7 linked regions of the Xenopus tropicalis genome follow. Each later gene encodes a partner of the first gene's protein in a complex. Links are inferred from orthologs where the notes say so. Each region holds a gene or a part of one and is shown in the gene's direction. Other genes may lie near its edges. The genes, in order: mks1, tmem237, tmem216, cc2d2a, tmem231, b9d2 and tctn1.

Evidence for each region.
Region 2: mks1 (region 1) and tmem237 share a complex: the UniProt entries of both Homo sapiens proteins name them as parts of the tectonic-like complex. The link is inferred for Xenopus tropicalis from reciprocal best matches to the Homo sapiens genes MKS1 and TMEM237.
Region 3: mks1 (region 1) and tmem216 share a complex: the UniProt entries of both Homo sapiens proteins name them as parts of the tectonic-like complex. The link is inferred for Xenopus tropicalis from reciprocal best matches to the Homo sapiens genes MKS1 and TMEM216.
Region 4: mks1 (region 1) and cc2d2a share a complex: the UniProt entries of both Homo sapiens proteins name them as parts of the tectonic-like complex. The link is inferred for Xenopus tropicalis from reciprocal best matches to the Homo sapiens genes MKS1 and CC2D2A.
Region 5: mks1 (region 1) and tmem231 share a complex: the UniProt entries of both Homo sapiens proteins name them as parts of the tectonic-like complex. The link is inferred for Xenopus tropicalis from reciprocal best matches to the Homo sapiens genes MKS1 and TMEM231.
Region 6: mks1 (region 1) and b9d2 share a complex: the UniProt entries of both Homo sapiens proteins name them as parts of the tectonic-like complex. The link is inferred for Xenopus tropicalis from reciprocal best matches to the Homo sapiens genes MKS1 and B9D2.
Region 7: mks1 (region 1) and tctn1 share a complex: the UniProt entries of both Homo sapiens proteins name them as parts of the tectonic-like complex. The link is inferred for Xenopus tropicalis from reciprocal best matches to the Homo sapiens genes MKS1 and TCTN1.

Annotation. Positions count from the first base shown.
Region 1 is NC_030678.2:41,734,378-41,738,655, forward strand, and holds the start of mks1 (Meckel syndrome type 1 protein), read left to right. Parts: upstream 1-1,478; 5' UTR 1,479-1,611; coding exon 1,612-1,688; intron 1,689-1,769; coding exon 1,770-1,885; intron 1,886-3,448; coding exon 3,449-3,516; intron 3,517-4,278. UniProt on the Homo sapiens protein: Component of the tectonic-like complex, a complex localized at the transition zone of primary cilia and acting as a barrier that prevents diffusion of transmembrane proteins between the cilia and plasma membranes.
Region 2 is NC_030685.2:53,792,719-53,796,218, forward strand, and holds part of tmem237 (transmembrane protein 237), read left to right. Parts: intron 1-1,131; coding exon 1,132-1,292; intron 1,293-1,790; coding exon 1,791-1,914; intron 1,915-2,005; coding exon 2,006-2,197; intron 2,198-3,500. UniProt on the Homo sapiens protein: Component of the transition zone in primary cilia. Required for ciliogenesis.
Region 3 is NC_030678.2:178,906,072-178,910,013, forward strand, and holds the start of tmem216 (transmembrane protein 216), read left to right. Parts: upstream 1-1,142; 5' UTR 1,143-1,218; coding exon 1,219-1,231; intron 1,232-2,720; coding exon 2,721-2,737; intron 2,738-3,942. UniProt on the Homo sapiens protein: Part of the tectonic-like complex which is required for tissue-specific ciliogenesis and may regulate ciliary membrane composition.
Region 4 is NC_030677.2:27,909,883-27,912,093, forward strand, and holds part of cc2d2a (coiled-coil and C2 domain-containing protein 2A), read left to right. Parts: intron 1-171; coding exon 172-294; intron 295-1,537; coding exon 1,538-1,596; intron 1,597-2,211. UniProt on the Homo sapiens protein: Component of the tectonic-like complex, a complex localized at the transition zone of primary cilia and acting as a barrier that prevents diffusion of transmembrane proteins between the cilia and plasma membranes.
Region 5 is NC_030680.2:64,234,200-64,236,936, reverse strand, and holds the end of tmem231 (transmembrane protein 231), read left to right. Parts: intron 1-1,149; coding exon 1,150-1,255; intron 1,256-1,469; coding exon 1,470-1,641; 3' UTR 1,642-2,237; downstream 2,238-2,737. UniProt on the Homo sapiens protein: Transmembrane component of the tectonic-like complex, a complex localized at the transition zone of primary cilia and acting as a barrier that prevents diffusion of transmembrane proteins between the cilia and plasma membranes.
Region 6 is NC_030684.2:79,325,656-79,329,805, reverse strand, and holds the start of b9d2 (B9 domain-containing protein 2), read left to right. Parts: upstream 1-1,350; 5' UTR 1,351-1,421; coding exon 1,422-1,467; intron 1,468-2,236; coding exon 2,237-2,326; intron 2,327-3,046; coding exon 3,047-3,172; intron 3,173-3,348; coding exon 3,349-3,665; 3' UTR 3,666-4,150. UniProt on the Homo sapiens protein: Component of the tectonic-like complex, a complex localized at the transition zone of primary cilia and acting as a barrier that prevents diffusion of transmembrane proteins between the cilia and plasma membranes.
Region 7 is NC_030677.2:162,888,123-162,891,622, forward strand, and holds part of tctn1 (tectonic-1 precursor), read left to right. Parts: intron 1-280; coding exon 281-401; intron 402-2,781; coding exon 2,782-2,900; intron 2,901-3,500. UniProt on the Homo sapiens protein: Component of the tectonic-like complex, a complex localized at the transition zone of primary cilia and acting as a barrier that prevents diffusion of transmembrane proteins between the cilia and plasma membranes.

The DNA of each region.
Region 1 (4,278 bases):
CTGATATAAAGAGTCGTCTGTTGCCAGAATAAAAACATAAGGATCACTTCATTTTTCCCGCCCTCTTTTGCATGAAAAGCATCAGAACCCTCTGATGGTCACTCACTACAACCTTCTCCTATATTAGCCCTTTTTGTCCATAAATTGTCACCTAAAACACTGGAATCCTCTAGTACCAAAATAAAAAAGATTAAAAAAAGCCTATAAACTCTCAATTGGTTTTGGTCAAGTTTACCCATTTTCTTGTCCTAAATTAGCCATTGGTCTGTTCATAAATTGTGAAAAAGCTAGTAGCCATACCTAAAAATATACTGGGACCCTCTGATGCCACTGTGAAAAAAGCCTAACAACTACAGATTACTGATGGTATATTTCACCAATATATTCTTTATCTCCCCCATGAAACAGGAAAACCCCCTGCCAGCACTGCTCCTTACCAATACCCTTTTGGGGCCCAGAACCTTCTGCGGCAGAACTGACAGGAAACCTGCACACTTTTAAGTTACGACCAGAGTGAATGTAAATTATTTATTTTGGTTAATTTCACCCTTTTACCGAAATCCAGCCCTTATTTACACAAAACCAGACACCCTCTGATAAAAAGAGCCTAAAATATATATTTTACCCATTATATTCTCATAACTAAACCTTTTAGGCACAAATTTGTGAAAATTATTTCCCTAATTTGCACATCAAACATTGGGATCCTCTTATACCACCAAAAAAATAAACCCTAAACCTTTGACCATTTGGTCAAATTGACCCATAGTCTTACTAAATTAGCCCTTGGTTCTGTCTCCAAACTAAAAAATATGGTCTGTCTTCACAAAAACACTAGGCCCCTCAGACACCAATGCTGTCCACGTAATTCACCCATTCTATTCTCAAAAATGACTCTTTTTAGCCCTAGATTGTCAAAAACATGGTCTCAATTTTCACATAAACGTGACTTTCCAAAAAACATAACCTTAGACCAGAGTTAACAATTACTGTGATACCAACATGAAAAAAAGCCTAAAAGATTAGGGCTGGTACGTATCACCCATTTTATTTGCTAAATAAGTCCCTGAACTGAGAAGAGCATGGCCCGAATCCTCACATACAGCGACCTGCACTATTGGCTAAATATCAGGAGCAGAGTAACCTCAGCAAAAGTATTAAAAGTGCGAGCGGGAAAAATGACTAGTAGTAAAAATTAATAAATATAACATAAAATAAAAGCCGCGAACAGCAAGCCCATGTTTTTAACTGCATCACGTAGTGAAATAACCGAGGTACGCTGTATATATAGCTGTGTGGTGTGACGTCACATTCTCGCGAGATCAGACTGGCGATATCTAATTCACCTGTCTGATTTAAGGAGCTGGATTATTGGAGGTATTTTAACGCATATTAAAAGATTTGCAAGACACATGGACTGTTATGGCTCCCAAACTATTAGACGCACATCGCGCTTGCTATTTGTAGCCTCAGTCGCGCAGTGACATGACGCACGGATATCAGCGGTAGGTTACAGTGCGCCGCTAAATCTCGGCTGCTACGCGTTACGTGGTGGCCAATTAGAGTTGCCGATTCGGTTGCCTAGGCAATTGCGACGCGCTTTTCTGAAATATGGCGGAAGACTGGAATCAGGATGTTGGGGAGGCAGTGTACAGATCCCGGGACCCCATAAAGAATCTGAGGATTCGGTGAGTGTCAAGGGGTTATTGTTGTTCGCAGCCCTACTCGCATGTGGAGCGCTAGTTACTCAGTGTCTTATTTGTCTTCAGAGTGACTCTGCAGCGGGTTACCCCGGCCATTGCTCTGGTACAGCGGGTGCAGGAGGAGGATGCAAATAGAGGAGGACTCGAACTACAGGCGCTGCACAACAACCCAGAGGCGAACAGTGAGTGATCCGGCCATATTGTGTGTTTCCCTTTCATTTTTAAGGCTGCATGGTGCCTGGGCGCAGGCTGGCTGTAGGGTGAGCTGTGCCTGGGCGCAGGCTGGCTGTAGGGTGAGCTGTGCCTGGGCGCAGGCTGGCTGTAGGGTGAGCTGTGCCTGGGCGCAGGCTGGCTGTAGGGTGAGCTGTGCCTGGGCGCAGGCTGGCTGTAGGGTGAGCTGTGCCTGGGCGCAGGCTGGCTGTAGGGTGAGCTGTGCCTGGGCGCAGGCTGGCTGTAGGGTGAGCTGTGCCTGGGCGCAGGCTGGCTGTAGGGTGAGCTGTGCCTGGGCGCAGGCTGGCTGTAGGGTGAGCTGTGCCTGGGCGCAGGCTGGCTGTAGGGTGAGCTGTGCCTGGGCGCAGGCTGGCTGTAGGGTGAGCTGTGCCTGGGCGCAGGCTGGCTGTAGGGTGAGCTGTGCCTGGGCGCAGGCTGGCTGTAGGGTGAGCTGTGCCTGGGCGCAGGCTGGCTGTAGGGTGAGCTGTGCCTGGGCGCAGGCTGGCTGTAGGGTGAGCTGTGCCTGGGCGCAGGCTGGCTGTAGGGTGAGCTGTGCCTGGGCGCAGGCTGGCTGTAGGGTGAGCTGTGCCTGGGCGCAGGCTGGCTGTAGGGTGAGCTGTGCCTGGGCGCAGGCTGGCTGTAGGGTGAGCTGTGCCTGGGCGCAGGCTGGCTGTAGGGTGAGCTTTTCCTGGGCGCAGGCTGGCTGTAGGGTGATCTGTGCCTGGGCGCAGGCTAGCTGTAGGGTGAGCTGTGTCTGGGCGCAGGCTGGTTGTAGGGTGAGCTGTGCCTGGGTGCAGGCTGGCTGTAGGGTGAGGGGTAGGGGCAAATTTAATCCAGGACAAAACCAAATACTGTGCATGGAGCAAAATTGTAGTAAATATATGTATGGCGCTCTTTTTGGTATTTCCACTACTTTTTAGCACTTGAAGAAGAGAGTTGCCCTAAAACATTTGCCTTGATTGCCAATAAAACTACGTTTGCACATTGCTGTATTAAGTGCCATTTGGATAATTTACTGGATTTCTATGAAGGGTAGGGTGAGCTGTGTCTGGCTGCAAGCTGTCTGTAGGGTGAAAAGGTAGGCTGAGCTGTGAACACAGAGTCAGGTACAAGGTGATCTGTGGGGTGAGTTGTACGTTGACTGTCTGTAGGCAGCAGAGAAGAGAATGTGTAAATGGGCAACAGCGAGCAAGGATTTCTCACATTCAGTGACTCTTTGCTTCACATTCCTGAACTGGAAGAGTATTGCATGTAGTATGAATACATGCACCTAGATAGGCTTCTATTCAGATATAAGTATCCTGGCGATATTCCTGTGGCTATGTATAATTCTTTCCCTGCCAAAAATGGCTTGCTCTGCTTTATGCCTGAAACTATAACTGAATTCTCCAATTGCAAGATCTGTCTGAAAGAACTATGTTTTATCTTGTTTCTACTACTATACAAAGTAGAAGCCTTTAGTACATTAACAAATTTTGTGCATTTTTGTTTTTATTATTTTTGTTGTCCTAATTGTCATGATCTTGTCTTTTAAGGGGGGCCTCATCCTAATGAGGAGAAGGAAGAAGTGGTGATTTCTTGGCAGGAGAAACTTTATAGCCAGGTAATTTCTTTTGTTGGCCTTCTCTTCCCACTAGCCCATAGCAAATAATTGTAAGTGGCCTAGTACTGAATTCAAATTTATTTTTATATATTTTCCTATATGAATAGCACATCTAATGCAGGTTACTAAAACAGCTGGTAAGCTGCTTAAAGGCAATCTATATCTCATATATGTTAATTGGTGCTTTATAAGTAAAGTTACAAATTTTGGTCCCTTATGAAAAGTGATGCTGGTACATTTAATGCCTTATTGTCTGGAGCCTTTTTAGTGATTTGTTCTGTTAATGCAACAGCAGGAATATGGGGTTCCTATTCTAGAACTTACAGAATATGCAATTAAATGCACAGTTGAACATTATATTAAAGGAGAAGGAAAGGTTCAATCAGGGAGGGGTGCCAAATGTTAGTGAGTGATTGTAATCACTTACATGATACCCCAGACTTGTGCTCCTGTTAGCAGAAAACTGCACCAGCTCGGGGTACATGTGAGTAAGCGTTTCTCTTCTTATCTTCTTCTTTCTTCAAAATCTGGGGCTGCCGTATGCACAGTAGAGTGAAAATGACGGATTTCTTTTTGTTAAAGTTCAACTTTTCACTCTAGTGTGCATGCATCAGCCCCAGATTTTGAAGATGTACCCCCAGCCGGTGCAGTTTTCTGCTAACAGGATGTCCAGCCTGTGGTATTGGGTAAGTGATTACAATTACTGGAGGTGCCTTCAATTTGGTACCCCTAGCGATTAAACCTTTCTCTTTTAAAGGCAAT
Region 2 (3,500 bases), on another chromosome or scaffold:
TAAAAAGCCTTTCCCAGTTAATATATTGCAGTGATGACAATTGGTTTTGTAACCTTTAGGGTGAAAACACACAGAGCTACTTAGTAGCAGCTACCAAACACCAGAAGATACCCTGCCATACACAATACTTAGAATTGCCCCTGCTAAAACACACATAGAGACAGTTATCAGTAAATGATCAGCATTGTCTATTTTTGCAGCCATGACAAGTAGTAGCCCTGTGTGGCTTCACCCTTTAGCCTGCTGAAATCTCTACCCAAATTCCATGCCTTCCCCATTGCTGTCCCTGGTAATTTCTCTAGCGCAGGGCTTTAATTCTTGCTTTACATACAGACAAACTCCTTCACCCTTTTTAACTCCTCTGTCCCTCCTAAACAGGGTGTAACCATTTAAATGCACAGCCCAGTCAGGTTCCATCCCACCAAGTCTCTGTGATAACAATTATATCATAATTTGCTATTATTTTCTGCACATGCAATAAACTCCAACTCTTACTGCTTTTCTCTCTGCTGTTTATATTACGTAATGGAGAATTAGCACTATAGATACTATTAGCCTGTTTTGTTTGTAACAGAGGGAACTCCTTAACTGGGAAACTATATGCCACTCCCCCATGACCCCATACTAATCCCACTTCCAGGTCTACACTAACTTCCTCATAATACTCTAGTTCCCCCCTTGACTAGTTTAATAAAATAGTAACACCAAAAAATAAAAATCTTTTAAAGTAATGTTAAATATAAGGTACTATGTGTGTACTATTGTGTAGCCGCAGGGGCAGCCGATGCTGTACCTGTCAATGGGGCTACATGAAAGAGCGAATGACAGGAGATCTGCTTTCCTCCACCTGTGTACAAAAGGCAGACTAAGGAAAGTGGATGACCTGCTTACTGTTCCCTCTGCCCTTAAAGTGATAATGGCATTTTCCTGGTATATATGGAATGTGTCACTATTACTTTCAATTTAAAGATGCAAATTAGGGCTTGAATACAGTTTGGCACATTTTTGTATGAGGATTTGGCACTTCAGCAAATAGAAAAATGATAAGGATTATTCAGTGCATACCTATTTTATTCATCCCACTGCTTCTTTTGCAATAATGTATTAATTTTTTATTTTTTTTTACACTAGGAAAACCCGGTCAGTGGGGCAGGAATTCCCAAATGAACTGGGAGTTGAGGACGAAGACATAATTCCTGATGGACATACAAAGATTCCTGAGCAGAACCCTGCGTTCCTTGCTTCTTCTTTAACTAGCCAGCCAGTCGGGAAATTCTTTGTGGAAAAGAATCGTAAGTGCAGGTCAAGGTCTTGCATGGTTTAGTTTCTGTGTGATTTATTTTTTTGGCTTTTAGGCCACTTAAGGTGTTCATGTGCATTTTGGCCATATGCGTGGATTGGTAGATTGCACTGATCTTTTTGTTGGCACATAAACAGATTAGATGGCTGTGGGTGTATAATTTCCTGAAGAATTGCAGGTTGAAAAACATATGCACCACATAGTAGCCACAAGTTGCATCGTAAGCCAACTTCTGCTACTATGTGAAGCACAGGTAACTCGTATGCTTTCGCATGGGTGATTTACATTGTTGTCAGTATGAAAGCATTTTCAGGACATTAGTCACCTACAGTAGATCAGATTACAGGGCAACTAATCTCATGTACCATAGCCCTAAAATGGCTATACAGTGCTGACAGCTGCCACGAATCACCGGTTTCCCCCTAAGTTTTGCCAGAATGCTTTTTGATATGTAAGTGGGGAATTAATGAGCTCCCCCTTTAATATTTAGGTAGGTTTCAAGCTGCAGATCGCTCTGAAATTATCAAAACAACTGAGCAAACTGATGTTTTCCTTGACGTCAAGCCAACATGGACCAGCATGGATGTATCCCTTACAGCACACCATATCTTTAGGTATAAATACCTTTGTTTAAATGCTTTCAAAATTCAAATCCAGCATGTTTTTGTATTTCTAACTTGTATTTATAATTTGCATTGATTGCAGGATGGTTGGCTTATTTTGCTGTGGATTCCTTGCTGGGTATGCTGTCTGGAATATTGTGGTTGTTTATGTTCTTGCTGGCTCCCAACTGACAAATCTTCCTAATCTGCTTCAAACGTACAAGATCTTGGCCTACCCATCTCAGTGTTTCTTATATTTCCTGTTGGTTCTTAGCACAATTACAGCTTTTGATAGGTAGGTGGGGTTTTTTTTTGTTTTTTATTTTCAAAAAAAGGTCTTTGGAACACTCAAACAAAATATTTCGCCCTTTTTATAAATATTGGCACACATTTAGCTTTCTAGATATATTTTACTGATATCAAATGTAATCTATAAGAACTCCAAACCACTCACATTCACTGATTTACTGATTCCTCTTTGGTTATATGCCCTCCTTTTTGTAACGCTACATTTTAAATGAAAGGGTATTTAGTGCAAGGGCACACTAAGCAGATTGTCTCTATCTAAAACATCTGCGGAGGAAAGCAGATCCACTCTTATGTGCACACCCCTGTAGCTTAATTGAAAGGCCTGTTGTTGACATGTGTGGAGCTACACAGAGTGGATATTGGCACCAAAATGCATAGATTCGCGTTTCTGTACCAAGATTGGCTCTGCGTAGCTCCACACATTGTGATGCTGACCCTGTCAATGAAGCTAAGGGGTTGTGCGCATAAGTGCGGATCCACTTTCCTCCGCCTCTATATAAAACTATAAAATGTCTACAGAGGAAAGCGAACAATCCATTTAGTGTGGTCTTGGGGATTTTTTCTTTTTTTTTTTTTTTTTCTTTCCTCTTTCGAAATCCCATTATCGGTTAGGTGAATAGCTTCTTATTCTCCCCTTTTCTGTTTTTCATTATCTGCTTATTGGTTAGATTAAGCTTGCTTACTGGAGAGTAACTAACTGTGGAGCAGTGGTCACCAACCAGTGTCTCGTCAGCAACATGTTGCTCCCAATGGCTTTAAAGCAGGTTTTCCATTTTGAATTTCTGACTTGAAGACAAGATTTGGTTGCATAGACCATGTGTACTGTCAAGCAGAGCCTCCTGTAGTCTGCCAGTCATCATTGGGCTATAAAATAACCAATCACAGCCCTTATTGGTCACCCCCTAGGAAATGTTTTCATGCTTGCGTTGCTCCCCAACATATTTTACATTTAAATCTTGCTCACAGGTAAAAAAAAAAGGATGGGGCCCCTGTCATAGAGTATTTGTTTTCAACTAAACATAGTTAATAATAGGGTTTAAAGAAGGGCATTTAGAAAGAAAACACATCTGCTCCTCTATTCTGCTTGAGAAATACATGTGGTGATGAAACACGTTATCCTGTACTGATGGGCTTTAAGAATGGCTAAAGTATTTTGTGAGTTTTAGTATCTGTACAAAAGGCAACCTGTGGTATTGATCTTAATCTCTCTCTTAATAATATGCACACAATAGGTGATTTGTTCATGGCTGTGGGAGGTGCAATAAGCAAACTGCCCCTGTTATGTGGAC
Region 3 (3,942 bases), about 140 Mb from region 1:
GGATCAGGGTGGGAAAAGGGTGGGGATCAGGGTGGGAAAAGGGTGGGGATCAGGGTGGAAAAAGGGTGGGATCAGGGTGGGATCAAGGTGGGGATCAAGGTGGGGATCAAGAAGGAAACAGGGTGGGAAAAGGGTGGGGATCAGGGTGGGAAAATGGTGGGATCAGGGTGGAAAAAGGGTGGGATCAGGGTGGGATCAAGGTGGGGATCAGGGTGGGAAAAGGGTGGGATCAGGGTGAGGATCAAGGTGGGGATCAAGAAGGAAACAGGGTGGGAAAAGGGTGGGGATCAGGGTGGGAAAATGGTGGGATCAGGGTGGGAAAAGGGTGGGGATCAGGGTGGGGATCAAGGTGGGGATCAAGAAGGAAACAGGGTGGGAAAAGGGTGGGGATCACGGTGGGGATCAGTGACCTGTAACTCCGCCCATGTGTTACTAAAAGTAAATATAAAGGGGAAGTTGACCCTTTATTGGGCTATGGGTTCTATAATGAAGTAACTGTGAGTAACATAATTAGGTGAGTAGCAGTGAGACGAGGAAACCGTGGGTGGGAACATCCGGCTCTTGAAGCGAGGGTCTCGCATCTCAGCCCCAATTAATAACGACTGCGCATCACTACTGAGAGACAGCAGCATCGGCCCCCAACTCTCCCACCCTCGCTCCTCTACTGCCCCCCGTGCAGTCATTAGTGCTCATACTGCCTCTTGTGTTTGGAATAACCTCTTCAGTGTTATAAAGGGTTGTCTCCATCTTGCCCTACTGTCTCCATCTTGCCCTACTGTCTCCATCTTGCCCTACTGTCTCCATCTTGCCCTACTGTCCCCATCTTGCCCTACTGTCTCCATCTTGCCCTACTGTCCCCATCTTGCCCTACTGTCCCCATCTTGCCCTACTGTCCCCATCTTGCCCTACTGTCTCCATCTTGCCCTACTGTCCCCATCTTGCCCTACTGTCCCCATCTTGCCCTACTGTCCCCATCTTGCCCTACTGTCTCCATCTTGCCCTACTGTCTCCCTGGGCAGAGGAGCTAGCAATCTAATTTGGCTGCAGGTACACTCTCCATTGAACAGTTCCCAGAAGCCCAGCCAGTCCCAGTTATTTAGTGGCCCTGAATGTTAGGGGGGAAGGCGCTAGGACCCCGCGGCGCACAGGCGGCTCAGGGGGTCACGTGTTGCGGAGGTTTCCAGGGAGTGACGTCACAGGCGTCCTTAGAGCAGCAAGATGGCGCCCAAAGGTAAGCGGGAGGCGAAGCAGCGGATGGAAGAGCGGCCCCCCTGCTCCCTGTAATGGCGCCTGTAAGCGTGGGGCTACTGTGTCCCCTATGCAAGAGGTGCAGCTGATCAGCGGGACTACAACTCCCAGCATCCCCTGCACCCGATGCCGCTACGCTGTCCCCTTACCTGCTGCATAGGGACCCGCACCGCTAGTGTGCAACTACAACTGGGGGGGGGGGGGGGGGGCTGTTAGACCACAATTCCCGGCATCCCCAGAGAAGCAGCGACTTCTCCCTGTTACCCACAATAGCGCACATTCCCCGGGCAGGTGGGTATATTATGGGCAGGTGGGTATATTATGGGCAGGTAAGTGGGTATATTATGGGCAGGTGGGTATATTATGGGCAGGTGGGTATATTACGGGCAGGCGGGTGGGTATATTACGGGCAGGTATGTGGGTATATTACGGGCAGGCGGGTGGGTATATTACGGGCAGGCGGGTGGGTATATTACGGGCAGGCGGGTGGGAATATTACGGGCAGGCGGGTGGGTATATTACGGGCAGGTATGTGGGTATATTACGGCAGGCGGGTGGGTATATTACGGGCAGGCGGGTGGGTATATTACGGGCAGGCGGGTTGGTATATTACGGGCAGGTATGTGGGTATATTACGGGCAGGCGGGTGGGTATATTACGGGCAGGCGGGTGGGTATATTACGGGCAGGTATGTGGGTATATTACGGGCAGGCAGGTGGGTATATTACGGGCAGGCGGGTGGGTATATTACGGGCAGGCGGGTGGGTATATTACGGGCAGGTATGTGGGTATATTACGGGCAGGCGGGTTGGGGTATATTACGGGCAGGCGGGTGGGTATATTACGGGCAGGCGGGTGGGTAATATTACGGGCAGGGGGTGGGAATATTACGGGCAGCGGTGGGTATATTACGGGCAGGCGGGTGGGTATATTGAGGGCAGGCGGGTGGGTATATTACGGGCAGGCGGGTGGGTATATTACGGGCAGGCGGGTGGGTATATTACGGGCAGGTATGTGGGTATATTATGGGCAGGCGGGTGGGTATATTACGGGCAGGCGGGTGGGAATATTACGGGCAGGCGGGTGGGTATATTATGGGCAGGCGGGTGGGTATATTACGGGCAGGCGGGTGGGAATATTACGGGCAGGCGGGTGGGTATATTATGGGCAGGCAGGTGGGTATATTACGGGCAGGTGGGTATATTACGGGCAGGCAGGTGGGTATATTACGGGCAGGCGGGTGGGAATATTACGGGCAGGCGGGTGGGTATATTACGGGCAGGCGGGTGGATATATTACGGGCAGGCGGGTGGGTATATTACGGGCAGGTATGTGGGTATATTATGGGCACCTACAGGGGGAGACCAAACATGGCTGCTCTGAGTGCTGGGAGGGGCCCCCGGCCCCCACTGGGTCTTCTGCTTGGTATCATGTGACTTGTGCTGCCCCCTAACTGTGCGTTTGCTTCCCAGGGAGAAGGCGCGGAGTTGTATCCTTGGCACTTACATAGGTGAGACGGTACCAAGTCACCTGTACAGGTATAGCCTGGCCCCGCCCACTGCTTCTTATATTCCTTTAACAATTCATGGGGGTACATTACCCCTTATAATACATGAGTGATACTCAGAGTTCCCTGTATAACTCAGCCTGCAGCCTTGTGCCTTTATATGGGGGGCACAGAACCCCTCAGTGACTGCTAATATCCTTATCATTTACAGTAGGGGGTACATTATCCCTTATAATACATGAGTGATACTCAGAGTTCCCTGTATAACTCAGCCTGCAGCCTTGTGCCTTTATATGGGGGGCACAGAACCCCTCAGTGACTGCTAATATCCTTATCATTTACAGTAGGGGGTACATTATCCCTTATAATACATGAGTGATACTCAGAGTTCCCTGTATAACTCAGCCTGCAGCCTTGTGCCTTTATATGGGCACAGAACCCCTCAGTGACTGCTAATATCCTTATCATTTACAGTAGGGGGTACATTATCCCTTATAATACATGAGTGATACTCAGAGTTCCCTGTATAACTCAGCCTGCAGCCTTGTGCCTTTATATGGGGGGCACAGAACCCCTCAGTGACTGCTAATATCCTTATCATTTACAGTAGGGGGTACATTATCCCTTATAATACATGAGTGATACTCAGAGTTCCCTGTATAACTCAGCCTGCAGCCTTGTGCCTTTATATGGGGGGCACAGAACCCCTCAGTGACTGCTAATATCCTTATCATTTACAGTAGGGGGTACATTATCCCTTATAATACATGAGTGATACTCAGAGTTCCCTGTATAACTCAGCCTGCAGCCTTGTGCCTTTATATGGGGGGCACAGAACCCCTCAGTGACTGCTAATATCCTTATCATTTACAGTAGGGGGTACAGTATCCCTATAATACATGAGTGATACTCAGAGTTCCCTGTATAACTCAGCCTGCAGCCTTGTGCCTTTATATGGGGGGCACAGAACCCCTCAGTGACTGCTAATATCCTTATCATTTACAGTAGGGGGTACAGTATCCCTTATAATACATGAGTGATACTCAGAGTTCCCTGTATAACTCAGCCTGCAGCCTTGTGCCTTTATATGGGGGGCACAGAACCCCTCAGTGACTGCTAATATCCTTATCATTTACAGTAGGGGGTACAGTATCCCTATAATACATGAGTGATACTCAGAGTGGGAT
Region 4 (2,211 bases), on another chromosome or scaffold:
AGTCGCCCGCGAACAGGGAGATTTGTCCCGGGCGACTTATCTCCCCGTGTGCCAGAGCCCTTAAGCAAGCAAGTGACTTTATTTGCCCGAGACTGAAGTGCTAACAAACTCTATATGTGTGCTGTGGGGAGTTGTGAATCCTTCAGTTTGATGAATATTTCTGTCTGTTAGATTTGGTTTAACACGCAGCAGTACGACGCACCAGTGAGTATGACCTTTGACACAAGCAGGACCAATATGTGGAAACCATTCTTTTCCAGAAGTTACCCTCATCCTGGGCTCTCGAGTGTTCAGGTATTGATTGCTTGCTCTGCCTCATTTATTCACATTTAGATTGTAAGCCTTAGTGACTGGGGCCCCTTTCGCCTTCTCTCTGGCTGCTATTTAATCTCTCTGCCCAACACCTACTTCCAGGACGTTGTGCCTCCCCCATAACCTAGACATCGCATGAGCACTAAAATTTTACATCCCTGGTACAGGCAATTTCAGGAAATGAGGCTCACTATTTGTACTCTATGGTCCAGCCCACAGAGGGGCTAAGGCCTCCAAATATACCAGTGGATAAAATCACTCATCACAAGGGTATCCCAACTCATCACAAGGGTATCCCAACTCATCACAAGGGTATCCCAACTCATCACAAGGGTATCCCAACTCATCACAAGGGTATCCCAACTCATCACCAGGGTATCCCAACTCATCACCAGGGTATCCCAACTCATCACCAGGGTATCCCAACTCATCACCAGGGTATCCCAACTCATCACCAGGGTATCCCAACTCATCACCAGGGTATCCCAACTCAACCATTCCCGTCACTGCACACTCGGCACTCCTAAACAGTGCCTTAGCAGCCCAACTGCGCAAAACAGCAACACAGCCCTCCCTACACACATGCACACAGTGCTACAAGTTCAACATACTCCAACCTGGAGTAACCGCACACTAAGAACTGTTACCTGCCATGTTAGAGGCCTGCACCTCTTAACTTCTTGATAATATCCCACCCTTTTATCCCTGCTCTGGGACTAACCCATCTGTCCCTGTGCTGGCTAGGTACTGCCCGAGAAAAGGGGATTAGTAATACTTACTCATAAATCCTTTTCTCATTGTCCCATCACGGCAGCACAGGTAGCCCCCACCCTCACTCCCTGCTTCTACTTACCTACCTACATACATCTCATGGGAACTGTTGGAGGAGGGGTTAATGCAGGGAAGAGGAGGACCAAAGGGGTGGATCTCTTTCAGTTCTTCAATTAGCCTGCCTCCTGCTAGCGTGTTAACCCTTTTGTCCCTGTACTACTAGGATAGGACAAATCCCCTTTTGTATCCTTTATCATTTATATTCAGTGTCAAAAAGGAGCAATATGGTCCAATTCCCTGGCTGTGTAACTGCTACTGCTATCAGGATAGGATGAGTCGGCATCTGGTGTTTGCTGGGGGATGTGGGCACCTGTGGGTTGTGCCGGTTCCACAATCAGGTGCTGTAAATTGGTTTCTTCCTTGTCAATTAAAACTGCCCATTTGCTTTTTGTAGCCAGAGGAGCTGATGTACCAGCGTATAGACAAGGCAGCGGCCGCTGAACTGCAAGACAGGTATGTGACTTATTCTTGTTACAGTACAATGATGTGTATGTGCAACTGTAACCTGCAGTCTGGGGCCCTACTGTGCTTATCTGCATCCCACTGGCACTGGGGGAGAGAGGGGGCTGCAGCTGAATGTGTGTACCCTGCAGTCTGGGGCCCTACTGTGCTTATCTGCTTCCCACTGGCACTGGGGGAGAGAGGGGGCTGCAGCTGAATGTGGGACTGTGACTTGCATGTACAGTACAGTAGGCCATAGGTAATGGTAGAGAAACTTTATGCACTACTATAAATCTTAGCCATAAACTTAGTTACCCTTTAATACTCATACCGTACATGCACCTATCCTATCCACTGCAGCACAGGGGGGCATTTGTGCCTTTTTCTATAATGTGCAGAGGGTAAATTAAGTGCTACTCTAGCTAATTACCGGTATATAGAGTTCATTGGGGGGAAATAAGTTTGGGCTCTGTTGGCTGAATTAAGAGTAATACCGGCACAGGGATGTCATCATCTCTCAGTGACAGGATATTTCCCATGTATGTATGCACCATATGTATTTATGTACAGTAGATATATATACATATATATATATATATATATATATATATATATATATATATATAT
Region 5 (2,737 bases), on another chromosome or scaffold:
GTAACGTATTTACTTTTTCTCTCTAAAATTATGACAGTTGCTAGTAATTGATGTTAAATAAGCTAGCATAAATGTCTCTCTCATTCCTTTCTTAAAGCATGGTGCTTAATTTTATTAAAAGACCTTTTATCTAGATAATCTCAGAAGTTAAGCATTAAAAATAATAGATTTCATATGTTTAATACTAGTAGCTTAGAGCACGTATCCCTCTTGCCCTGTCTAGTAGTTTATTTGCTCCTTGATGGACAATGCACTACTGTATATGTGTGGCCTTTTGGGAGAATGAATGTATGTGAAATATATTAAAATCTATAGCTATACATTTTTATGAAGTTGCCCAATCCACTGGACATTAAAAGCACTAGGGTATATACTGATCAGATTTTAGATGAACATAAACACTGTTGAACACATCACCCACACACAATTTATATTCCATAATGTTTGGCATGTGTGAGTGACATGTGCCACCTATTTTGGCATAACTGTCTGTGCCAATTGATTTGGGCAGGAAGAATTGAGCAGTGCCAAGCAACATATGGAAGTGCAAAAAGTACCTTTCTAAGCAAGTACCTTCTTACCCAATTTTCTCATGCAACTTACTGCAAGGAAATTAGCGGCATTGCTGCTGTACTAGCAGTTGTAAATGACCCCTACCATGCTGAATGGCACATTAACTGTTCTTAGCTGCTGACGAACCATTCACTGTAAGATAATAAATATGTGTGCTGGTTTAAATGGAAGAGTTTGCAAGCCTAACGGGAAATCTTAAACTGCTCTGTATTATGGGAGCCAATGCTAAATGGTCAGTGCTTAGAGTATGGTGGACAAGGACAGTTGTAACCCTGAGGCTTTGAACACAAAAGGGTAGAAAAGGGGCTGTATGTCAAATGTGAAACATAATTAAACGTTATAATAATAAAAAAAAATATATATATATATATTCATTATATTTGTAGTGTTTGTGTGTATGTATACAGAATAGACATAAATTTCGGCAACATCATTTTTGGCAACAGATTTGTTTGTTTTGTGAGAGATTTGTGAGATATTTTTATATTTTATGCATTATTATAGTTGTTATTATTTACCTTAAAGTATTAGGCATCTTTTTGTGTTTGTTAACTTTTTAATGTTATCTGGTTGCAGTGACCACAGTTCTGAATGCCCCAAACCCCCTGTGGATTGTTGGGAGAGCTGCTTCTGATCCATTTGTAATAAAAGCTGTTATCCGGTATCCCGTGGAATCAATATCATATCCTTTAACTCTTGTACAAGTTTGAAAAGTATAATTCTTTGTGCATATGCACAGCTTCTAGAGTATTTCATATGCCTACAAGTATTAAGAAAACTATTACTTTTATATCCGGTGCTTGGGCTATTTCTGATTTCTATTTCCTGGGATTTTGTTTACTGTTTTCAATATTAGTGCCACATGTCCCTTTTGAAGATTCCTTAACATTATCCACATATGTGCCTGGATTCTGGGAAATGCTAAAATATGCATGGATTCAGTATGTCAGTATCCTTCTCATTTTCCTTTGGGTATTTGAGAGAATTAAAATATTTGTTTTTCAAAATCAAGTTTTGACTACAGTACCAGGCCCAATACCATCATTGTATAAAAGTCATCAGAGCTGATAACCAACCCCATATGATAAACTGGATCTTGGGTATGCCTTTTGAGGCCTTAAGACTTCTAATAACTTCTCTTTCTTTACTGTGATAAAGAAGTGGATTTTCAGGAACATGAGAGGAAACCTATTTGCTATGTTGGAATTATTACAGCAGGAATTTCAGACGTGTTACTGATAAACTTCAACTCCCACAAAACATGCAAATAACACTAAGCGAATTCTAAGGGTTGTAATTAAGCAAGAGGTGAAAGCTTGCCTCAACAGCCCATACATTTAATGCTATGTTTTAATAATATCTTCTTGGAAAAATGAACCTAAATGTACTTCCTTTGGTAATATTTCCTTCTTTCTGAAGAGAGTGTTGGTTTAAAAATCCAGTGGCACTGGCAGTACATTGGATTGCCGTATACTACTGGTACCACTCCATCTTAAATTTCTTCGCTCCTAGTCATTTTTTTGTGGAAGCTAGAAATTGTTTTGCAAAATATCTCAGTCTTCCCAAATATTTCAGTTATTATTAACTGAATATTTCATTTTTATTAAAGGGGACCTGTCACCCAAACATAAAAAGCTGTATAATAAAAGTCCTGTTAAAATGAAACATAAAATCCAAATTCCTTTTTTTATTAACACATCCAAACCCATTATAAAGGCATTTAAAAATTCCAGCTGTAAATCATATATTGTATTAGGCATAGAGGTGGGGCAGACAATTACTTTCACTTTCCATTCAGCACTTCGTAGATGTCACTGCCACCCTCATCACTTTCCCCCTCCCTCCTCACCATCTAACTGTGTAGCCAGTGCATGGGCATGGGCATCAGGTCCCCCATTCTGGCACATAAACAAGATTTTGTTGTTGAAGCGAAGCTTTCCTTACTAAAATAGCACCTGGCTGCTTGCTGTAGTTGTGTAAAGACTGTGTAAAGACTGAAGGAAACAGGATTTAAATAATTAAATAATTAATTACAATAATTATATTGTGTAAGTAAAGTTTATTATGCTTGACTAATCTGATAGAAAATAATTTGGAATTATTTCTTACGATGACAGGTCCCCTTTAAAGGAGAAGGAAAGATAAAAACTAAGTAAGCTTTATC
Region 6 (4,150 bases), on another chromosome or scaffold:
ATAGTATTGTGAACTGCAATGTATTCAAGTACCCTATCTTTCTTTTGGTCTCTATCTGTACCTGTCAGTAACAGTGCACTCTCTCAAAAGAATGCTCTTTTACAAGGAAATGGGCAGAGACAAATGGAGAGATCTGATAAGAAATGCATACTGAGCATGCAGAATAAATCACTCAATGAGAAAGGGGTAAAATGGGGCAAACAGTTATCTTGTGAAGCAACAGACAGGATCTTTTAAAGACACTAAAATAACAGCATATGTTCCGCAAAAATTGGCTCATTACCAGCTTGTCTTGCAGTAAAGCAGCTTTAGCAATCTTTTATAACAAAAATACTAATGTATTTCTTGCATGAATTGGATCAACGACACCTTTTCAGATAGGGATATCCTAAATAAATTCTTCTGCGTTCATGTATCCAAGTATCTCCCTACTTCTTTTAAAATGTAATTAAATATTTTGGCCACTATGTCTGTCATAAAAGTGAATGCGTTTCGTCTGACGCTGCCATTCAAAGTTTCCAGCATTTTAAAAGCTGGGTTCTTTTTGGTTTAAAGGCTTTACATTTGGGGGTGTGACTACAAAGTGGGAGCAGACAAACGCATTTTCAGCATGGCCATGCTAATTCTCATTACACCCCCCTCAGCCACTAACTTGCTGAACTTTAAATGGACGCTAATATGTCTCTTGTATACGTAATGCCTCAGAACCCGACACGACACGACGCCCTATATCTGTTTAAGCAACGTTCCATTACACTATGTTGTATTATAAATCACAGATTGCAGTATTAATAGCTATCGTTTAATCCCAATACTTCGTCTCCCACAGACTATCAGTCTCGATCAGTTTACACATTTCGCCTACAACAGACGTCACTTCCGCCGGTGAACCAATCAGATCTGCTGTATGCAACGGTTGCACAGCAACAGGCGGAGTCTACCAAAGTGAGAATTAGAAGGGGCAAAAAGCTAAGACAAGGAGCCGGTTTTCAGAGGGGGTCCGGTGAGATTTATGTTGCAGTTGTGCGGTTAGGGGAAGCATTTATAGCGGGATGTAAAAGAGGGCGAAAAATATTTAGAGCTAATAAACTGGTAAAGCGCTTACATCTTACCCTACTGCGGTGTTATATACGCAAAGGTAGATATGATTCGCAGGTTGTCGGTATGGAGTCCTGATGATTTTGCACCATCATCCAAATATGTATCGTCAGTAATTTATATGCTCATAGCACACACAATGGCGCCAGTGTAGGGAGTGTAATGGGGGTATTACGTTTTCCAGCAGCTGATAGTTGACAAACAGAGGCTCTTGGCTGATTCTGTAAGTGTAAGCTGTAGGGCCCTCAGTTTAGGGATTCTATTTGTTGATTCTATAGTGCCTTCACTGTCAGTGTTCTATGTAGTTATGAAATTCACTGTACATGAATAGCCACACTCATGAATTACATTACAGCCCAACTTGTGCAGGTATAAGTAGGTTTTTTTTGCTTGATGTTGGTCATTGACCTGGTTAGTTACATATGTAATACACTATGCGGTAATGACAAATAAAATTATGCTTTCAAATTGGTTTTATTGGATGTGTAATGAACAGTTTGGTTATGACATGCCACGTCTTACAGGGCTTATTGCTGGGGGTTAGCTACATATACTAATAATATACGTAGTAATAACACTGCGCTAAAAGTAGGTAATAAATAAAATGTATATGTAATACTAATGTTCCTTCTAAGCTATGCATTTGTGGATATTTAAATTACGATGTCAGGGCACATGCATTAGAACCGCCCTTTTACATTATTGAGGCCACTAGAAAATAATGGGGGATGTCATATCCTTGAAATGTATTAATCATTATATTTTGGAGGGACCACAAAATAAAAAAACCTAAGTAAGGGATGAAAAATAAAGTTTTACTGTAATAAATTGTGGTGCGCAAAAAGAATTTTGTATGTAAAGGCATAATTTAGAATTTTTTTAGACTTGCGCATAGTTTTTATAAAAGTGCTCAAATAGGTTTAGGAAGTAGGCACAAAAGAAAGTTTTTGCACACACAGCCAAGAAAAAAAGGAAAACTTGGTCACTGAGGCTTGTATATTTATATTGGCGTCAGATGGTATAAGAAGTGTAATTTCTAGCTGTTATTGTTTGTTGGACCTACTTCTAATAAAAATTATAATTTAGTTTCTTCACAATAATGATGTAACTGAAATATATTTTACCTTTCCTCCTACAGTAATGGCAGAGGTTCACATCATAGGGCAAATTATTGGGGCTAGTGGCTTCCCCCAACACAGCCTGTTTTGCAAATGGGGAGTACACACAGGTAAGAGTCATCATTTTGCATTTTAAATGGATCTATATATCAATTGTACATAAAAAAAACACAGTTTTGTTTTTTTGTGGAGCTGTACGCTGTTGAAAATGTGGTATATGCATTCAGTTGGCCCCACTTTTATTCTAGTACAGGTATGGGATTCCTTATACGGAAACCCGTTATCCAGAAAGTTCTGAATTATGGAATGCCCGTCTCCCATAGACTCCATTTTAATCAAATAATTCAGAATTTTAAAACAGATTTCCTTTTTCGCTGTAGTAATAAAACAATACCTTGTAATTGATCCCAACTAAGATATAAATAATCCTTATTGGATGCAAAACAATCCCATAGGGTTTAATTAATGTTTTATTGATTCTTTAGTAGATTTAAGCTATGGAGATCCAAATTACCCTTGGTCCCGAGCATTCTGAATAATGGGTCCTATACCTGTAATATATTTTTAAGTTTGTGATGTGAAGAAGAAATATATGCGTCAGGTGACCCCTGTATTTATTCTAGTAATGTGAAGTGAAGGAGAAGGCTGTGTTTGTATAACTTAAAGCCCATTTTTGGCTTTACTTTACATAAACAATATAAAAGAGTCTTAAAGGAAATGTTAATGTTTTGAGAAAATCTTGATATATAAGATACTGGTGTGGCTCTATCTATTATTAACCATATGATATTTCTATTTGTAATAACATCGTTCCCTACCATAACATTTAGGTGGAGCCTGGAAGCTACTTTCTGGGGTTGTGGAAGGCCAGACACAAGTAGATCATCCACAAAATGATGACATGGCATTCTGGTCTCACCCTATTGACATGCACTTTGCTACTAAAGGATTACAAGGTAAAGTATGATAGAATAAAGAATAAAATAAAGAATCTGTTAAAATTATTGTAATCACATTGGAGCCCCTGCACAGGCTCCCAACCCTAACCCTACCCATTCAAATGAACACACTTTACCTACCAAAGGTGCAAAGTACATTATGTACTTTAAATGCTTGTATTTCCCCCACTTAGGTTGGCCAAAACTTCACCTTCAAGTCTGGCATCAGGACACATTTGGTCGTAATGAACTTTATGGTTACAGCTTCCTCCACATCCCTTCCACCCCTGGTACTCACTCATTGCTTAGCCCAACCTGGCGACCCCTGGGAACATGGCAGGAGCAAATATGTCAGATGTTTGTTGGCGGCGGCCCACAACTTAAGTCATCCAGCCTGATTTATGGAGGGTCTGATCGCTACCGTCTGCAAACAGTGGCCATGGGGCAAGTACATCTCCAATTAACGGTCATACTCAGGAACTTTGAACGATACGGGGTGGAGTGTTCTTGATTTTGCAGAGTGCTAAGAACTTGTTCCTGGTTTTCCAAATGATTATTTTTGGTGCCAAGGACATATGCACTGAAATAATCAGCAAGACATTTTATGGAATTACTTGTGAACACCTCAAACAGAATCCTGCTCAGTATTTAATGAGCCCCTTTTCTCAACCCTTCTTAATAAACCTGATACTTCATATCTCTTCTGTACCATAATCTGGTAACATTTATCCTCCTCCCCTTCTACTAACATCTCTTACACTTTCCCAAATTGTCTGTTACTTCTGATATTAGCCATTTTCCTCATTGTATCACTTTTTTACTATCCTTGCTTTGTTTTCAGCCCTGTTATAAAGCACACTCCCTTTCTCTCCTTTCATTTTCATAATACCTCATTCACATCAATCACTTACCAGAATACATTTATATATAAAGTAAATTGAATGTTTTTGTTTTTAAATACTTTTCAGGCTCTTTTGACGATTATCTTAAATCAGT
Region 7 (3,500 bases), on another chromosome or scaffold:
GTACCTAAATCTGACTTTTTTGCCAACCTGACTGTCCCCTCTCAACCTGTCAGTTATAGTTTCTAATGCTAATGGACTATTGCAGCACAAATATGGCAGCATTAGACAGATACAATTAAGGCAAAATTATAAAGCTCATGCAAAGACAATGTTATAATATTTTTAAAAACAATTTAATTTCTGGTGCCAGTATCTCTTTAAGATACATTTGTTAGTTAAATATCAGCATTTTATCCCTAACCGTAACGCATTTGTTGTTTTTTTTTCTTTGCTTATCAAGTTGCCAGTCTGTGTGTTTGCGACCTGCTTGTGGGCCAGTGTGATGTCAACTGTTGCTGTGACCCTGACTGCAGTACCTCTGACTTCAGTTTATTTTCTGGATGTTCCATTCCTGTTGTCACGTAAATATCTTTGCGAAACTCCCTGTTCCCGCACATACAGCAAAGCATACCTCCCAACTGTCCCAATTTTTGTAGGACAGTCCCTCTTTTAACAGCTCAGCCGTAGTCCCGGAACACTAAAAAAGATACAATGTTTCTCAAATTTAGCTTTTGGCAGAGAGCCCAGAAATCTTAACAAGCTACAGATGCACTTTTTGCAAATGTTGGGAGATATGCCGTAAAGTAAATCCGGCAGAGCTACTCTGCTACAAATGCACAAGTACCCAAGTGCCCAAGGATAAAAGAAAGAAGATACTGAGATGCTGGTGCAGCACTTAGGTATCTTTTCCATTAGTTGGTGCAGTTTTCTCCCTAACAGGAACACCGACCCAAGGGGGAGGGGCTAATATTTTGCATTAAAGTGACACATATATCAGTGCTAGTGCTATTTCCAAGCTGTCTAAATTAAGTCCTATTGGCTTTGAATGATATGGGGAAATCTGTGCTGTAGTGAAGCTGAGTGAGGAATAGCCACACTTCTCTTTTTAAGCCACTACCAACTCACTGCCCAAATTAATGGCAGAATTAAACAAAAATGTCCTGCATGATTGTAGTGCATCCCTAGGTATCTCATGATACAGCAAATTCACCTGATGATGTTAACAGGCAAATGCGCAGTGCAATTTAAGTGGTGCATCCCTATAGATTTTGTTTCATTTTAACCACAAGATGGCAGTATTGTATTTCAATGTATTACTTCACTGAGCACAAATTTCATTTCCAAATGTTGTACAGATTCAGTTTTTTGGCAGTTAGAAGAAGGCTCATTTGTGTGCACAAGTACAGTGAGCAAAGTGCAATTTGGAGCGCTAAATATTTTTGAAGTCTGTCTGGCATCATTCCTGGCGTGTCATTTCTGGTGATGTGTGTGACCTATTCTGTGTGCAAGTGATGTGTGCGACCTGTTCTTTTGGAGCAGTTGAGGCAGGGCATGACCTGGTCTGGGATTTCTCTGCATAGATAGGCGCAGGGAAATGTGCATGTTACCCACTGTGCCTGTGGATGTAAATTCTTAAGGCTGATGCCATATGGGGCTGATTCTTGGCCTGTGGAAAAATGCAGGCCAAGAATCCGCTCCTCCCCTGGCAATAGCCTCTTATCTTGCCTGTGCCTGGAACCATTGTGTTGGCCCAGGTGCAGGTACATGCTTTGGATATCAGCAAAGAAACGGAAGAGTTCGCATTTTGAGCCAATATCTGCCGCATGTGCCTGCACCCAGGCCAACACAATGCTTCCAGGTGCAGGCAAGATAGGAGGCTGATGCCAGTGGACGGGCTGATTCTCGGCATGTGTTTTTTTACAGGCCGAGAATCAGCCCTATGTGGCATCAGCCTAAGATCATTGTGGACCCACACTTAAGTGACTGATAACTGCATACACCAATTGAATTGTTCATCAAATGCACTGATGTTCCATTATGCCTGATTAGATCTGTTTAAATGGTTTGCATAATGAATGAAAATGTAATTCTGAGCAACTTAAATGTGATTCCTAGTGAATCTATGTTCCTGACTGAATTCTGCTACATCGTTTCAAGAGTCAGAACTAGTCATGAGTACAAAAACAATGCTTTCAGTCACAAATATATTTAAAAATAATCAGTGAAAAAGAAATTGCTCATGTATATTGGAAACTTGCTTTGAATTGCATTTCTATTCGTTATGCAAAAGAACAGTTTTTGGCAGGCATCCCTTCAGAATTCCAAATGGATTTTGATTGGGTGATTAGATCATTTGGGACAAATATGCAGATTTGTGAGGGGACAGTTTCTTCAGTAACCCCAATTACTCTTTATTTAGTAATTTTTAATGCTTCTGTTCCAGTGCATACAAATACAGCTACCTCCTTCTGCCATCAGAAAATATGCATATATCCTCCCATCTCTGCCAACAATGCTTGATTAAATGGATACTGGCATACACTATCTAATAGTGAATTTAATACTAGATCTTTTCAGTATGCCTTTTTTTTTTTTAAATAGCGCTGTCTGTCACCTCCAGCTGCCAGCCTCCATTATTCTTACACTTCCCATACACTTGTGTTTCACTATCTCACCCTATGTAACATAGGGCTTTTGATTGCCACACCCTATAAATTCAGAAGTGTAGTGTATCTGCTGGCAGCCAGTAACATTCATTTTAATAGGAAACCTGCTGCTTATGAGGAACACTAGCACTAAGATGGCAAGTTCAGAAACACTGACTGTTGTGTTTCCAACCGTTACTAGCACTAGTGTTTGTCCTAAGCAGCATGTTTACTTTTTTGCAATTCAAATAGATTAGAATACGGGAAACCATATGTGAGCTGGTTTTTATCTGTGATCTATTTTTTTTTCCTCCAGAGTAGACAGTCAGTTATGTACACAAGAAACTGTACAGTACTCGATCAATGCCTCGAAAAGAGTTGTCAACACAGTCGAGCAGATTAATCCAAGCATTTTCTGCATCCAAGCAACCAATTGTATGTACCGCTTTTATTTCTTAACTAAATAATTATTGTGGCTATGAAAGCAAATATGAGCAAACAGTGCTTTAAAAGGAATAGGGGACCAGTTGGGACAATCTTGGCAGGCCCCCTACACAAGGTGTTGTCAGTTGGCACAGGGTTCCAGGGCTGGGTGGGCAAATAGTCCCTGCCTCTTGCTCTATGACTGATGATCTAACCCTGCCTTTTCACCTCTCTTTCTCTTGTTCCTTTGGCCCCCAACCGTTCATGGCACAATGTGGACCCCAAGCACTGGGCACTGACACACTAAGCATACTATATACAGTGTGAGACAATGATTATTGGTCCCTCAAACACACTATACAAAAAAAAAAAACAGTGCGTACTCTGTAGCAATATGAATGCAGTTCCCACTTTTTGTGCTTATTCCACTTGGTGCGGGGCCCCCATGGGCCCAATAGGTCTAATTGGACTAAGGCCAGTCCTGGTGTGCAGCACTGTACATCAGAACAGTAAATTAATAGAACAAATGTGGTCCATTACAATAATAAATACAAATTACTATTGCATTAAAAATTAAGAGTTAATGTTGAAGCCACATGGGACAGATTCTCA